Drosophila melanogaster: one gene and its partners. Changing the gene in region 1 together with any one later gene gives a genetic interaction. Each region holds a gene or a part of one and is shown in the gene's direction. Other genes may lie near its edges.

Region 1 (5,040 bases):
CTAACAATTGAATGACTACTTTAATTTAAACCACAACTTCTAAAAGAGAAACAACTAATTTATCAGTAAATACTTAGGATTTGCGTTCAGAAACATCCGAAATTGCATTAATTTGCATAAATTAGTAAGCTATTATTAGTAGTATTCGCCTGGAGCGAATTAGTTTATTTACTTTAAGCTTACAGTTGCAAACATTCCCTGACTTCAACTAGAGTTCCGAAACTCTCGGGCATCCAGAGAGAAAACCAATAATATCCATTGTGTATATACGCGCAAAACTAAATAAAATAAACTCCTCTAAGTAAAAATAAGAACAATATGAACCTCTGACATAGTTCTTTTGTCTGTTTCTATTTTATTAAACAATCTTCTAAAACCAAAAAAAATGCTTAATGCGCGTGGACGCGATGGCGATGGAGGACTGCAGGAGTGCGGATCGATTGCATACGAGTGCCAATTCAGGTGGCTACAGCGAGTTGATGATCTTCCGGCTTCGCATCTGCTCCATCCAGCTCTCGTACTGCTGCTCCGGCGTCTGCGGCTCCTGGTAGTAGTGCTGCGGCGGCTCGCCCTCCTCCAGGCGCACGAAGTAGTGGCAGTGCTTGTACTCCACTTTGCCGAAGCGACCGCGAGCATGCCGCCTCACGCCCTTGAAGACGCGTCCCTTGCCCACGAAGGATTCGGCTGGTAGGTAAGAACAGACAAAGATTCATCAATATAATGGTTAGTGATGAAGAAACTAATGATAATCCATCATTCATAGTGGATACATAGATTCCTTGTGCCCCTGCGGCTCACCTATCCACAGATTGCTCTTGTACTCCACGTTATGCCGCTCCACGGCTATTTGCTGGGCCTCCAGTATGGTCTCCTTCACATCGGTGGCCCCCTTTTTGAGCACAAAGTTCAGCTGCTTCAGCGCCTCGTCGACGGACATTCCGCGAACAAAGGCAGCGATGTACCACATCTTGTCCGGACTGTATTTGATGTTGCTGCGCATGTGGCAGACATACTGTGCAATGCAAGTGGATTAGAGGATTGCAGCTGGAGGGGTAACAGCAGTGCGTTCGAAATATGTATCTTACAGCATTTCTGGGCTCCTCGTCCGTTTCCTGCGGCGGATGCACGGTCTTGTTGTACTCCAGCCATTTGCGGGGTCCGTAGTTGTACTTGTTCCACTTGGCGCACAGCATTCCGGCGGAAGCGGCCGTGTGCAGGGATTTCGACTGGAGGGCAGGTGGTGAAACTGGTGATATGGCTGGTGATATTGAGCTGCTATCCGCCGATCGGAGGAGCGCTGCTCCCTGTGGCGCCTGCAGGCGCAGCTGGGACATTTGCCGGATCACCTTGTGCATCTTAGCTTGCTTGAGTTATCACAGCAAATCCAGGCAATTCAATCCGGAAGGGAAAACGCAGACTTTCCGTAAAAAAAATAATCGCGTAATCTGCCAGTGTGACCAATGGCAGCAGGTATGCCGTGGACCTAAAACGTACCGCACAAGCGGCTGATCTGCGAGCGGTATGGCAGCGTTTGATTAGGATATGTAAACATCTGGCAGCGCTATCGATATTGCTTGAAAATATATTTATTTATTAGATTTAAAAAAAAACTTGTAAAAGCAAGTTGGTACGACATAAAATTATTAACTTAAATAAGAGCATATCAGCAATTCACATTTAGAAGCCATTAAAATAATGCATTGAAACGGAAACATTTATCTCCACACAAATTAGCAATTAATACACATTTTCATAAAAATATGAAACCTAACAATTAAAGTACCCATTTGGAATTGACCATCTTTAAAGTATATTAAAATTGAAAGACATAAATATTCCTTATGCACTATGTAACTATTCTAGTTCAATATTATACACTTAAGTTGATCGTTCTCAACAGCGCGTCGCGCTCACTTTTGAATCGCCCAACGATCTGGCATCCCTGCGTGAAATTTGAAATTGTATCTGAGGAATTGCTAGCCATCTGAGTGCTGCATTCGGTGGCGTGAAGCGAAAGTTGCCTGGTGTAAAGTGCGGAGCGCTCGCGTTCGAAACGGAAATTCAACGGGCGCCAGTTTTGATTCAAATTCGCGTATGCAAATGCAATCGATGGTAATTGAACGGCGAAACATTTATATTTGCGTGTTATCTGATACATATATCCAGCCATCGAAAATGTTTACCGGAGTTTCGAGGGCTCATTGTTTGTTTTCATTAATTTGCATTGCCAGTTTGCTCTGCCTCGGTTAGCCGGCGAATTTGCTCGTATAGTCGAATTGCACTACATTCCGAGATCTCGTGATTGCGAATCTAAACCATCTGGATAAATGGGAAAACCCATTTTCACTGCAGCGTTCTCATTTTCGAGGCAGAATTAATTTGCACCAACGCACATGCGAAAATGTTGCATATCGTGCAATTAAAACTTATAGATTTCAAAGCTCATTTAGTTAAAACTTTGAAAAAAGTGTATTTACCTTTTTCGAATTTTAAAAAATATATACATTTTTTTAATTTCCGAATGGATATAAGCTTGTGTATATGAACATAAAAATCATAAATTTATATGTGATTCCATTTTCGAAATAAACGTTCTTCCATATGTACATATGGCCCAACAAAATGACACATCAAATGGTCGAAACTTTTGCTAACGGAAATTACAGACTTCCCACACGAAACTCACCTTTGAAATTTTTTTCGAGTGGGATGCTCGCTACATACATGTGTAGATAATGAAAAAATAAAACTTTTGCTATCGTTTTGGTTGTTTGAGAGCTTTGCGTTTGTTCCGAGATCGCTCTCCCGAGTCTAAAAACTAGAGACTACATTGGTTGGGTATTGAGTAGGCGATCTGGCACGAGCAGTTCACCCATGTATCTCTGGCGGTGCTAAGATGTATCTTACAGATACTGTGCGCCATTAGTCGTCGTTTAAATCTTGCTGCGTTCGCTGCCGAGGTAGAGCAAACACCAAATGTCAAATAGCAAATCAAAATATAAATAATACAAACAATACCAATTGAAAGTGAACTTTACTTATTAACAGCACAACACGCGACGCGCCAACAAATTGCTTGAAACATTTTTTTCCAGTGTTGCAGCACCAGTGAAAAGTGCACCGACCAAATAAATTCCCAAAATATACGCATATTAAACAAAATCTGACAAAAAAACACAAACACAAAAGCCAAAATCAATAAACTAATGTCGCAGCTGTGTTTGCACCTCCGACATTTTGTGCAGTGTAGAATTCGATCTGTATATGCACGTCTATATATACATGTGCATATATACCTAGATATAGGCGGACTCTGCTGGGCGTAGCACACAGCTTCCAACTTTTTAGATTTATTTTTAGACAATGATCGTTTTTTCCACTATTTTGATGTGTTTTTTTTTCGTATTCATATCTTAACCATCTGGGCAAGATTGTATGGCAATTCCAGTAGTGACTGTTGCCAAATATATTCAATTGATGTGCAAAAAAAAGAAGAGAAGTGTTCAAAAAGGGTCTCAAACCTTTTACTTCAAAACTGAAGGTTATTTCGTTAATTAGTAGTTACAAGTTCAAATGATGATCAAATAAATGGGAAACGAAGAAATATTTTTAGAAACTTTCGCCAGCTTTTGCATTTAAATGCAAATTGCACGCTTAGGAAGTTATTTATGCAAATTTAGCAACTTTCAGTTAACAATTGTGTTCGCCTGGCAACGCATTTCAATTTTTAGCCTGCAATTTGTGGGCCACGAAATTAACTGTCTTATTTATATTGACACATTCGCCAGTCATTTTGAATGCCAGCCGCATGATCAATTTGTTGAATGTTAAATGGTGTACACCATATGGCGCGTTCTACAGCGAATTTTTAGGTTGTTTTTTTTTCCTCTCTCTCGCTTAATTATAATTCATTTTCTTGTCTATGAATGGCAGCCGCCCATCAATGAACTCGAATCGCCCACACTCGGCGGAAAAACTGGGCATAAAAAGTGGAAAATGTGTCAAATGTCACCTGCACAAAACCGCCTACAACTTGTGGGATTCTTTTCCGCCACAGAAACCTACGTACACTGCAAAAAATATCCAGCTCAAATACTTACTTAAGGTCTTGATTTCTTCAAGTACTTGCAACTGAAATAATATTTTGAATCGTTCGATACCAATTGCATTTTCAACTTTTCCTTGAAAGTTATCTTCAATTTAAACTAAAGTTGTGTGGGAAGGGCTGGCTGGCTGGCTTTCAATCTGGCTAAAAGTCTAATGGCTTTTTGGCCGTTATTTTGTTATTTTGGCCAACCTGTTTGACGGCCCATTACGTCACCATCACCATCATCGCGATGCTGAGCGTAGAACGCGCCAAAATCTAAGCATGCAGCAAAAAGAAAAAAATCCAAAAGCAAACATGAAACCGTCAAAAATGTCTAAAAACAACAAATCAGATTTTAGAATTAGACAACAATATATGAACGACCCGACTGATACCCTAGCATTTTGCTGCAGTGAAAAGGAGATGATTGAAATCATTTAAACAAAAAAAAAATAAAATAAAATAAATAATAAAAAGAAGTGAGAACCTAAAGTGATTTGTTAAAAAATTAACAAGAAACCGTTTTAATGAAAACAAAAGCTACTAAATATAAAAATATAATATAAACAACCTTACATGCAAAGAAATATAATTAAAACCTAATAATATAATAATAATCGATAAAAATAAGTTCAAATTATCGGATGACATGCATTTTATTGATTTTTTGGCATTGACAGTTTAATAGTAACGAATAATTTGAAAAGAAACTGAACCGTGTAATAAAGATACTCGTAATTGGCCCGACATCCGACTTCAGACATTAGATATCCGACCAGCCCTAACCACCCCGCCCACTCCGCGATTCCCAAGGCCAACAGATCTTGATTATGATGTTAAGCGAGAGAGAGAGAGAGAGCGGGCGAGTGGGTGCGAATGAGAGAGGAAGATCGCAGACGTTGAGATAGAGATATGTGGAGATACTAAAAAACAGAGACACTCAGCATTTGCCG
Region 2 (4,757 bases), on another chromosome or scaffold:
GCAAATGCAGAACACTTTTTAAACGGAGTATATCTTCTTTTTGCAGGAGATGCCACTGATGCGAGAACAGGATCGACCGAGAAGCGAATCACCTTCACCCTGGCTCCCAGTTCGGCCGAATGCTCGCCGTCGGGTAGCCAAACGACACTTACTCCCAAAAAGTTCGAGGCCATTGCCGAGGAGGAGAAGGAGGACGACAAGGCCGATGAGGAGGAGGAGATCATGGAGGAGGTGGTGCTGCGACCTCGCCTCATCGACCGGCATCCTCATCTGCTGGCCAACCCCAGTGGACTGACGACCACGCCCAAACGGATCCTGCGATCCGCCAAGAGCGTTCCGCACATGAATGTCCGTTCGTCGGCCAGTGAGACGGATATATTCTCCATTAGCGGTACGATGACCGGAAGCAGTCAGATCAGCATGACGCCGGAGGTGCCATCGATATCGTTCAGTAATCTGCCTAAGAACTACGAGGACACGCCCACTATTGAGAAGTACCGGGTATCGCAGAGTCTCTATTCCATTCAAACGGCGAATGCTGCTCGGGCCACACAGGATGATTACTCCATGCCGCGCTACTTCCGTCGATCTGCCATGCTATTGACCCAGAGCTCTGAGGTGCTGCCCGGCGCCAGTTCACTGGCCTCCATGTCGCCATCGATGGCCTCGTCCTCTGCCTCGCCCGGGTCCTCCAAGGACGAACTGCGACGGCCAGAGAAGGAGAAGAGCAAACGACTCCAGATGCTGCGTGGCAATCTACCGCCCTTACTTATTCATTCCGTGTCCTTCAAACGAAATCGCGACGAGGGCAAGCAGGTTGACTAGTCGCACTGCAGATATACATATTTATTTGTTAATCACTTTGTCCATGTTTTTAATGTTTTAAATTTATTAGCCTTTAGTACCTGCTTATGCGTTTTCTGTATTATCTTCTAAGCAATGACCTTGTCCAAACAATTCCTCAGTATTCAGATGTACTTCATTTTGAATTAATGATTGATATTACAAAATAAATTGTATTTTACCACAAAAAACAGCGATTAAAGATCCTACTTAATAAATCTTTATAAAAATCTAAACGATATCTATTTGTACCATTTTAAAAGAAATAAATGCGAGCTTGAAAAAAAATGCACTTATCTCCCCGACGGGGAATTGAACCCCGGTCTCCCGCGTGACAGGCGGGGATACTAACCACTATACTATCGAGGATGTTATACAAAGTGAGTCAAACTCGGGTTTTCCGTTTGCGGAGTGTGAATGCTTGTTTCAATTTCATCTGTTCCCCATTTGTACTCTGAAGACAGTGTGCAAGCTCGAGACGGTTGTTTGACAGTGGGTAGACAACATCCTCGATAGTATAGTGGTTAGTATCCCCGCCTGTCACGCGGGAGACCGGGGTTCAATTCCCCGTCGGGGAGAGATGTAAAAATTACTTTTTGTTGATTGTTTTAATTTATTAATTTAATTTTTTAATTTTTTAATTTCAAAATTTAAGTAATGCAATACATGTTTCAGACCAACAAATTAAAATAAAAAATTGCACCATATAGCTTAAAAAAACGTCAAACATGTATATTTAATTAGGTCATCCTGGAAGTGATATATAATGAAACACATTTCAACGGGTATATAAGTTTTGTTAAGGGGTAACTGTAAGCCGGACCCATTTAGCTTACCACCCAATATGGTAGCACTGGCTGTAGAAATTCCCAATGGCAACGCTAGTCGACCAGTTTTCATTCGTATTGGCGTGTGTGTTGTTTGTACAACAAAACATTCTAGTTGTTTTATTTGCAAGGTGCTCATATAAAAACATAAACAATATATTTCGTAGAGTGCCCTAATAATTTATTAAGTTGTGAATTAAACAAATATGAATAAGAAGCGTGTCCAAGTGAATTGGTTAAATTGTAAATTATAAATAAAGCAATACATATAAACGGCCGGCAAAACAGAGAGCGCGTTTTAAGAGAGAACCTAATAGGAAAAGAGTGTAGAGCTGCCAGGTTTCAATTAGGTACCAGGTACCAAACGTATTTATTATTCGAGAAGAACTATTTTTGGTGACTAAATATGGTTTCTGATTATAGAAGTGTTCTCCTAATATATAATTTTTAAAAATTTTTTTCTACACGTGCCCTCAGATTGTTGATATTCAAAATTCGTACACAAACGCCCTTGACAGGCGCAGTCTCACCCGCGCCCACTGAGAGCGGAACGACGGAAATTTCAAACATTATTTCTATTTTCTATTTGAATTGAAACTATGTATTTTCCATAATTTTCAAAATATTCTTGATTTTTTTTGAATAACTAAATTAATTATTTTAAGTATCGCGAGGGAGAATAAGAGTTTAAAGCGGCCGATTATATTGAGGGGGAGTTTCAGTCAACGAAAAGGAAATAGTGAGAGGAGAGGGCTTATTGAAGAGAGCCTCTCATTTTAAAATTTCTCTTTAAGCGTGTTCCTTCTAAAGGACACAAGAAACTAATATGTTTATGAAATAAGAAACTTAACCGTGTATGTGTTTTCCAATTTTGCGTGAACAAATAAAAGAGCTCAAGCATTTTATCGTTTGAGTAATTTTAGATAAAAATTTATTAATATTTTTTAATGTTTTCAATTTGCCATAGACAACATTTTTTCCAATAAAATTCGGTAATATAAATAACATGGTGTTATGGCCTGCAATTTTTATATAAATTTTTAGTAGCACGCTCTTAGTTTAATATTTAGGTCAATAAAATAATTATCCTTATTGTTTTTTTTTTTAATTTGCATATTGTTTGTTGACCAGCTGTTAAGAGAAGAGAGGAGAGAGAAAAAGAGAACCGAAAAAGTGACCGTTCGCGACTTCGCAGTCAGCGCTGGAAAACGCACTAACGCGCGGAAAATGCCCTAGCGCCAGAGAAAGTGCCATTTGAGACTGAACTCTCTTTCGTGCGAGTTCCCTTTTCATTCGAAAATTTAACGCCCGCGCTGCTGCAGCGCGTTGTTGCTCCGGTTGGAAAATATCTGAAAACAGCATTAATAAATAAACAAAAATATTGGATAAATCGCCGGTAGAAACGCTGCATAAAACGAAATTTGGTTTCTTGTAAAATATTATTTTTCAAGATATTTTCTTGTTAATTTCCGGATATTCGACAAGGATATAAATGTTTCTTTCGCGTTGATAAACAAATTCCAGCACCGCTACCTTTGTGTCGCGCAATTGTGAAAAGTGATTTGTCCATTGTGTACATTAATTAATAAATTGGTAATTGCTCAATTTAGAAACATGTGCAATCGAGAGCTAGTGTGAGTGTTTGTGTGCAACAATAATAAAGCCGAAAATTGCCCAATTGCAATTGGCAATCACAACAAAATTGGAATATTATGGCACATTAGAAAAAGAAAATAACGAAAACTGTGTTTCCACCCAAAGTTTAGGCCGCAGCAGAGCGAATCCACAAAAATATACAATTTCGGCAATTTTTCCACATATTTTTCATTGATTTTTCGCCATCCTGCGGGTGTGAGCAAGAGGGCGAGAGAGTTGAAAGGAGAGCCAGGCTTTTGTATTCTGTTTTGGGTACGTTTTGGGAATGAAACGGTCCTGGCTCTCGCTAACCCACCCTCCCTCTCTCTTTGGGATTATCCTTTTTATATTTTGTTTATTTCTCTATTTTCCTGGCCACGTTTTGTGCACCATTCGTTTCGCTGCATTTCATTCTCGCGGCGTTTCAAATTGACTCAGAGAGAGTGAGAGTAAGAGTGGGAGAGAGCAGCACTCTCTTATTCTTCTTCCTCAAACTCACGCACCCCCCGCATAATGTTTTTCGACTCTGCCTTGTGCCCCCCATTCGCATCTCTCCGCAGCGCGTTGCCAACCAAAAAAAGAAAACTAAAGTACTGTTGTCATAATAAGAAATTTATCAGGAAAAAAGTTGAATTACAAAGTGTTTCAATTGATATTTCTTGATCATTTCTTCATCAAATCGTGTTTCATATCGTAGCAAATATTAATTTTAATTCAAAAAGCCCTACATGCCAGATATTTGTGTTCAAGATAAGCTCTTCCTGCGGCCATAACTTTTGATTGGGAAACTGAAATCTAATCCAGTTTTCCTTCTCCCATTTCCACAGTATTTAAGCCAGAAACAAAGTGAATAAGGCAAATTTGAATAAAGAAAAAGAATAAACCAAGAAAATATGCTCAGAAATCGCATCCGTAGCCTACTTATCGCATGAAGAACCGGTACCGTTAAGGGATAATCGCCGTCGCGTTAATTCGACTCCTGCACCGCACCGCCCCGCCCCCCCGTTCGTCGTTTCGTCTATTCATATATCCGATATAACCGTTATCGCGCCCGTGCATCTGCGTCTGCATCTGTGTGCGTGAGTCCTTGTATCCTCTGTACATATGTACAATATTTGTCGTCGTCGTCGTCGTGCATCGTTGTTGTTGTTCTTGCTGTTATCCTATTATTCATCGTCGTCCGCTGGCATTAATCTGCGTATAAAGTAAATATAACAAATTTGTGTTCTTCGGTGTTGTCTCGTGTAAGTGTCTATAATTTGTTTAAGTACGACAAGCGATCGGTGCGAATCAAAAAATTCCAATTCACCAGTCTGTGTGTGCGAATCGATAATCGAGCTATCAGAACAACCACAACAACAACAACAGCCCAATCAATCGATCAATGTCAGCAAACAAACGATAAACAGGACTCGCTGGGACTAATCAATTGCGTAATCTTCAGAATATTTT
Region 3 (4,615 bases), on another chromosome or scaffold:
TGTGGCCCAGAGATTTAAATCGGATATCCATCCATAGGCATACAATGTCTCAATCGCCACGCACATTGACACATTTTTCAATGGCACTAAAACTGTATAATGGGGCCGTACAACGCATTTAATGTCGGCCCACACACACAGGCCAATTCCGATCGGTTTGAGCCAAGTGCACACAAATTTGGTGGGACTTGTGGCCGGACTGTGAAACTTGGCCAGGTGAGGTCCGGTGGTGGGAGTCTGCTTTCCAATGGAACGACCAATCCGATGTCCATCCACAACTTTGGCCACAACTTTAAACTTTCACGTCTCATTTTGGTGTATGCTGGTTTCAAAAATCGGATCTTGCCCCATGCCTGCCGTTGGCTAGATGTGCCGCCCCAGAAATTTTGGGTTCCGATGGGGAAGACTGTTGCAATGAAGTGATCCTCATACATATATGTATATCAAAATATTGTTGAAGACACAGGCAACACACAATAAGTTCACCGATCCACTGGCATTAAGTGTTGTAATAGTGGAAGGACCTAAATGTGAACAGAACACGAGTAAAATTTTAGAATAAAAGTAGCTTTGTAGACTTAAAAGATTGTTTTATTTTGATACACTTTATCGATAATTAATTATTTTTAGTACGCAATATCTTAATACTGCGTTGAATTTTTGTGAAATTCGCCAACCACACGGAAGCCAGCGAAAAATGTCTTTCGCGATGGAAAGTAAAAGTTGTCGCCGGCCTAGGGTCGCTTATATGGTGCGTCCATCGAAACGCTCGCGAATGCCAATTTTCCCACATACATTTCGCGTTTTGCAGCAGAGTTAACCAAGTTAACACCAACATTTGGCCAGTACGAGTTCGGGGGCTCATTTGCATGGTGTTTTGGACTTGGGGCCCAGATGCCAGCCCCCGCATATGTCCGGCGAAACAAAATGCCGCTTGGTTCTAATCTGCCAGCAATTTCCGTGCGCAATTAATGCCTCCACAGCGCAGTGTCTTAATTAATTCAAAATCAACGCCAACGCGCCAAATTGTGGCCCACCCAGCTACCAGGTGGCAACGCTGAATGTTGTTAGTCAATTAATGCATTAACTAGCCTCCATTTGGAAGAATATTAATGGCCCACCTTTGTATTTAGTTGCTATTAACTTATTTGGCCATTTATTAACTTTTATACTCGCACTTTTGGCTAAAATATGTGTAATATGTTAACCAGCTGCGCAACTCTGTTTGTGCGGAGTGGCAACGCTGATGGGTGATCTCGCATGCTGGCAGTAGGGTGCGAGAGAGCCAAGTCAGAGAGAAACTGACGTCACAAGATGGGTATTGGCGTATTTTTTATGGAAATGGTTATGCAAATATTGACTAAACGTCACCGAGTAGTTAAAAGCACTGATATATTAGAAATTAGTTAATTTAGATCAAAAATACCCCCAAATATATAACCAAATATTGGCTTTTAAATATTTATTAAAAGCAATCGCACTTTGTGACGTCACTGGGCGAGAGAGCAGAGAAACGAGAGCACATTGAAACCACCACCCCACGATCGAACTGGCATGATCTCACACTTACAACGTTTTGTGCTCTTCGCTTCGCATTCAGTTTCTTTTTCTCTTTCTTTGCGCACGGTTCAGTGGTAGGAAAATTAGGAGGAATCGTTCAGTAAAGTCCCGAGATCCGTTCGCTATTCCCCGACTCGAATAAAATCCATATACACATATATCAAATAAACAAAGGATAGGAGTCCTCAGAGAAGAAAAGTGTGTTTAAAAAAAATACTTTCCAAACAAAACGAAATGAATAAAATCCAAAGCCATCCAGTAGCAACAACAAATACATAATCAGCAACTGTGCATATTTCTGCGAGTTTTCTTGCATTTTTAAATCGGTTAAGTGGCCTTGTGCACTCGGTACATCTCCAGGCAAAGGAATTTATACCTTTGTATCTTCAAAACGTAGAAATTTGAATATAAAATTTATTTAAATACTTTTTTGTTGTACTTGCTGTTGCAGCAGCCAAATGAGCGAGGGTGAGAGAGAGAGGCAGCTATTTTGACATTCTGCTTTCATTCATCTCCGTCGCATATACAGTTTTACTGTTTATTGTCCGTGTGTGAGTGAGCGATCGCCGAGGAATTTTCTGCCTTCGCTTTCGACTTGCTGCGCTCTCTCGCTCTCTCAGTATCTCTCGCCCTGCATTGTTGTTGCTGCCGATCGGAAAAAATACTTTTGGGCGGAGTTGTTTTCATTTCGTTTTCCGTTTTTAATATCGCTCGCGTACGAAACTTAATGAATTTCCCAACTCCCACAGTAACGTGTTAAAAGTAGCAAAAACAAATAAAAAAGAAGTGTGCACCAAGTAAAGAAAGCAGAGACCCAAGGAAAGTTGAAAGTTGAAAACCAGAATCTCGTCGAGAACAAAACAAAAAGTTCCCAAAAACCCACACATCACACACGCACGCAACAAAATGAGTGTCTGTGAGAGCAAAGCCGTTGTGCAACAGCAACTGCAGCAGCACTTGCAGCAACAGGCAGCCGCAGCAGTTGTTGCGGTCGCGCAACAGCAGCAGGCTCAAGCCCAAGCCCAGGCTCAGGCTCAGGCACAGCAGCAGCAACAGGCGCCGCAGGTGGTGGTCCCCATGACCCCGCAGCACTTGACCCCACAGCAGCAGCAGCAGAGCACACAGAGCATCGCCGACTATCTGGCCCAGTTGCTCAAGGACCGCAAGCAACTGGCCGCCTTCCCCAACGTCTTCACCCACGTCGAACGCCTGCTGGACGAAGGTAAGTCGCTAAAACTCAAACCGAGTGAGATCCCTCCAAGTCACAGCATCATCCTAATCCCGGATCCAAGACTCAGCGGAAGGATAACGATCACTAGCTAGCCTTTTCTGAATCAAACGATAAACCCAGTTACTGTTTGTTATTGTGATAATATCCTTTTATTCATCAAACACTTTACAGTACCATTAGGAAATTGTTATATATAATAAATGTGATGAAATGTGGTGAAAGAAGAAATTTGGATATTCTTGTTATAATGTTCAGATATTTAACTCTAGAATGTATTAGAACTTTGTGTTTGTATTCCAAAAATTCATGAAAAGAACATTAAACTATTGTAGTATACAAATCGATGCCATTACAGTTTGGTTTATATCTTTTTTAATTGTTCAAAAAATATTTGCAAAGCACTTTAATTCCGAGAATCTGGCGGGATTTATTGTAAACATGTATTACAGAGACTGTAGGTATTTAGAACACATTTGGGTAAATGGGAGAGTTTAAATGAGTATATATGTTATTTTAAAGTGGTGACTTCATTTTCAATCGTGTGTGCCAGGCGTGTTAATGATTAGGGTGCCTCTAACCAAGTGATCACTGTAGTTCAATCAGTTTTGGGGCATGGATCTCTGGGTGTCTGGTTTGTCTCCTCGGCGTCTCCTTTTCGGCATCTTCTCCATCGCGGGTTCTGAGTTCATTCCACCTTACAAACCGAAACGAGATGTTTGTTATTTTTAGTTACTTCCTTTTTGTGCGCCTCTTCGCGGAGCGCACACTACTTACACCTCTCTCCGGGCTCTCTCCTTTTGTATTCTTGGCTCCACACTTGACTGCCAGTGCAGCCTTTGTTGTTCTCATTATGAATTCTTTGTTGACTCGGCCATTCGTAAACCAAAAAGGAGGGAGGCTTGGATTTTGAGAGACGCAGAAGGAGATGCGAAACCCCAGGGGGGGAACCCCCAACAAAGATAGAAACATTAATGTGGTGTGGTATTATGTGATAAGAGATCATTTTATTCACAAGCATGTATGAATTTATACATATGCTAAAAGTTTTAAAATTTTCGAATCTGGAATATTATTGGATCCATTTAATGATCTGCTTTGCTCTGTGCACTGAACGTGTAGCAAACTTATCTGAAAGAGGAAAAATGTACCTCAACTGCCCACGCTTTGCCTCGAAAACCAAAAAAATCAAAAAAAAAGAAAATATGAATAAATATACGGCAACGAAGCAAAAACTCTTAAAGGCAAGCCAACAAAAGTCAACTTTCGGGGCGGGATAGGGGCGGTATAGGGGCAGGGGCGTGGCACTACCTGGTCGCATCTTGTATCTTGTATCTGGCATATCGGAGCTCTCGTTTCTGTATTTGCCCAACATCTGTTGCCCATATGCAGGCCGGCCAAGAGGGTGTGTGTCGCCTCGTAATGACAAAATTATGTTGCACAGATACACAGATTCAGATACTGGTGCGGTATTTGCGGATTGCAAGGTACCGCTAGATGGCCAGAGTACACTTATTATGTACAGCGTATGTTTGGATTACTTTAATATACGTTTTTTTTTACCATATTGCTTAATCAATTTGTTTATAATTGCTACTACAATTTAAATTACATTTAATTATTGCAATTAAACTTGAAATGTGATAGCAAATGGTCTGTATAATAAGATGCAAGATCTTGATTTCTCTCTTCATTTGGAAAATATCCAAGAAGTCGGTGGTCTTATCTAGACCAATCAGATTATTGATTACCAGGTACCAGGAGGTATCGCACTGTCGGAAAACTCGCCCAAAAGCTTATATTCTTGTTTTGGTTTCGTCTCGGCAT

The links.
Region 2: of if (region 1) and Sema1a, changing one enhances a phenotype caused by changing the other (phenotypic enhancement), as found in Drosophila melanogaster (one study listed by BioGRID).
Region 3: of if (region 1) and how, changing one enhances a phenotype caused by changing the other (phenotypic enhancement), as found in Drosophila melanogaster (one study listed by BioGRID).

What each region holds. Positions count from the first base shown.
Region 1 is NC_004354.4:16,780,390-16,785,429, reverse strand, and holds the start of if (inflated), read left to right. Parts: upstream 1-1,995; 5' UTR 1,996-2,112; intron 2,113-2,884; exon of another isoform or gene 2,885-2,960; intron 2,961-4,355; exon of another isoform or gene 4,356-4,566; intron 4,567-5,040. Other genes in the region: mRpL22 (mitochondrial ribosomal protein L22), read right to left, coding at 467-684, 799-1,012, 1,086-1,355. UniProt on the Drosophila melanogaster protein: Alpha-PS2/beta-PS is a receptor for Tig, wb and Ten-m. Involved in the function and/or development of the olfactory system.
Region 2 is NT_033779.5:8,540,412-8,545,168, forward strand, and holds the start of Sema1a (semaphorin 1a), read left to right. Parts: upstream 1-1,735; 5' UTR 1,736-1,801; intron 1,802-2,801; exon of another isoform or gene 2,802-3,304; intron 3,305-4,132; 5' UTR 4,133-4,757. Other genes in the region: CG17834 (uncharacterized protein), read left to right, coding at 47-825. UniProt on the Drosophila melanogaster protein: Involved in growth cone guidance through its role in axonal repulsion. Function in neurons is essential for adult survival, motor neuron survival, and is important for climbing behavior and activity.
Region 3 is NT_033777.3:22,040,598-22,045,212, forward strand, and holds the start of how (held out wings), read left to right. Parts: upstream 1-1,593; 5' UTR 1,594-1,758; intron 1,759-2,309; 5' UTR 2,310-2,466; coding exon 2,467-2,782; intron 2,783-4,615. UniProt on the Drosophila melanogaster protein: RNA-binding protein involved in muscle development and dosage compensation. Vital role in steroid regulation of muscle development and to control heart rate.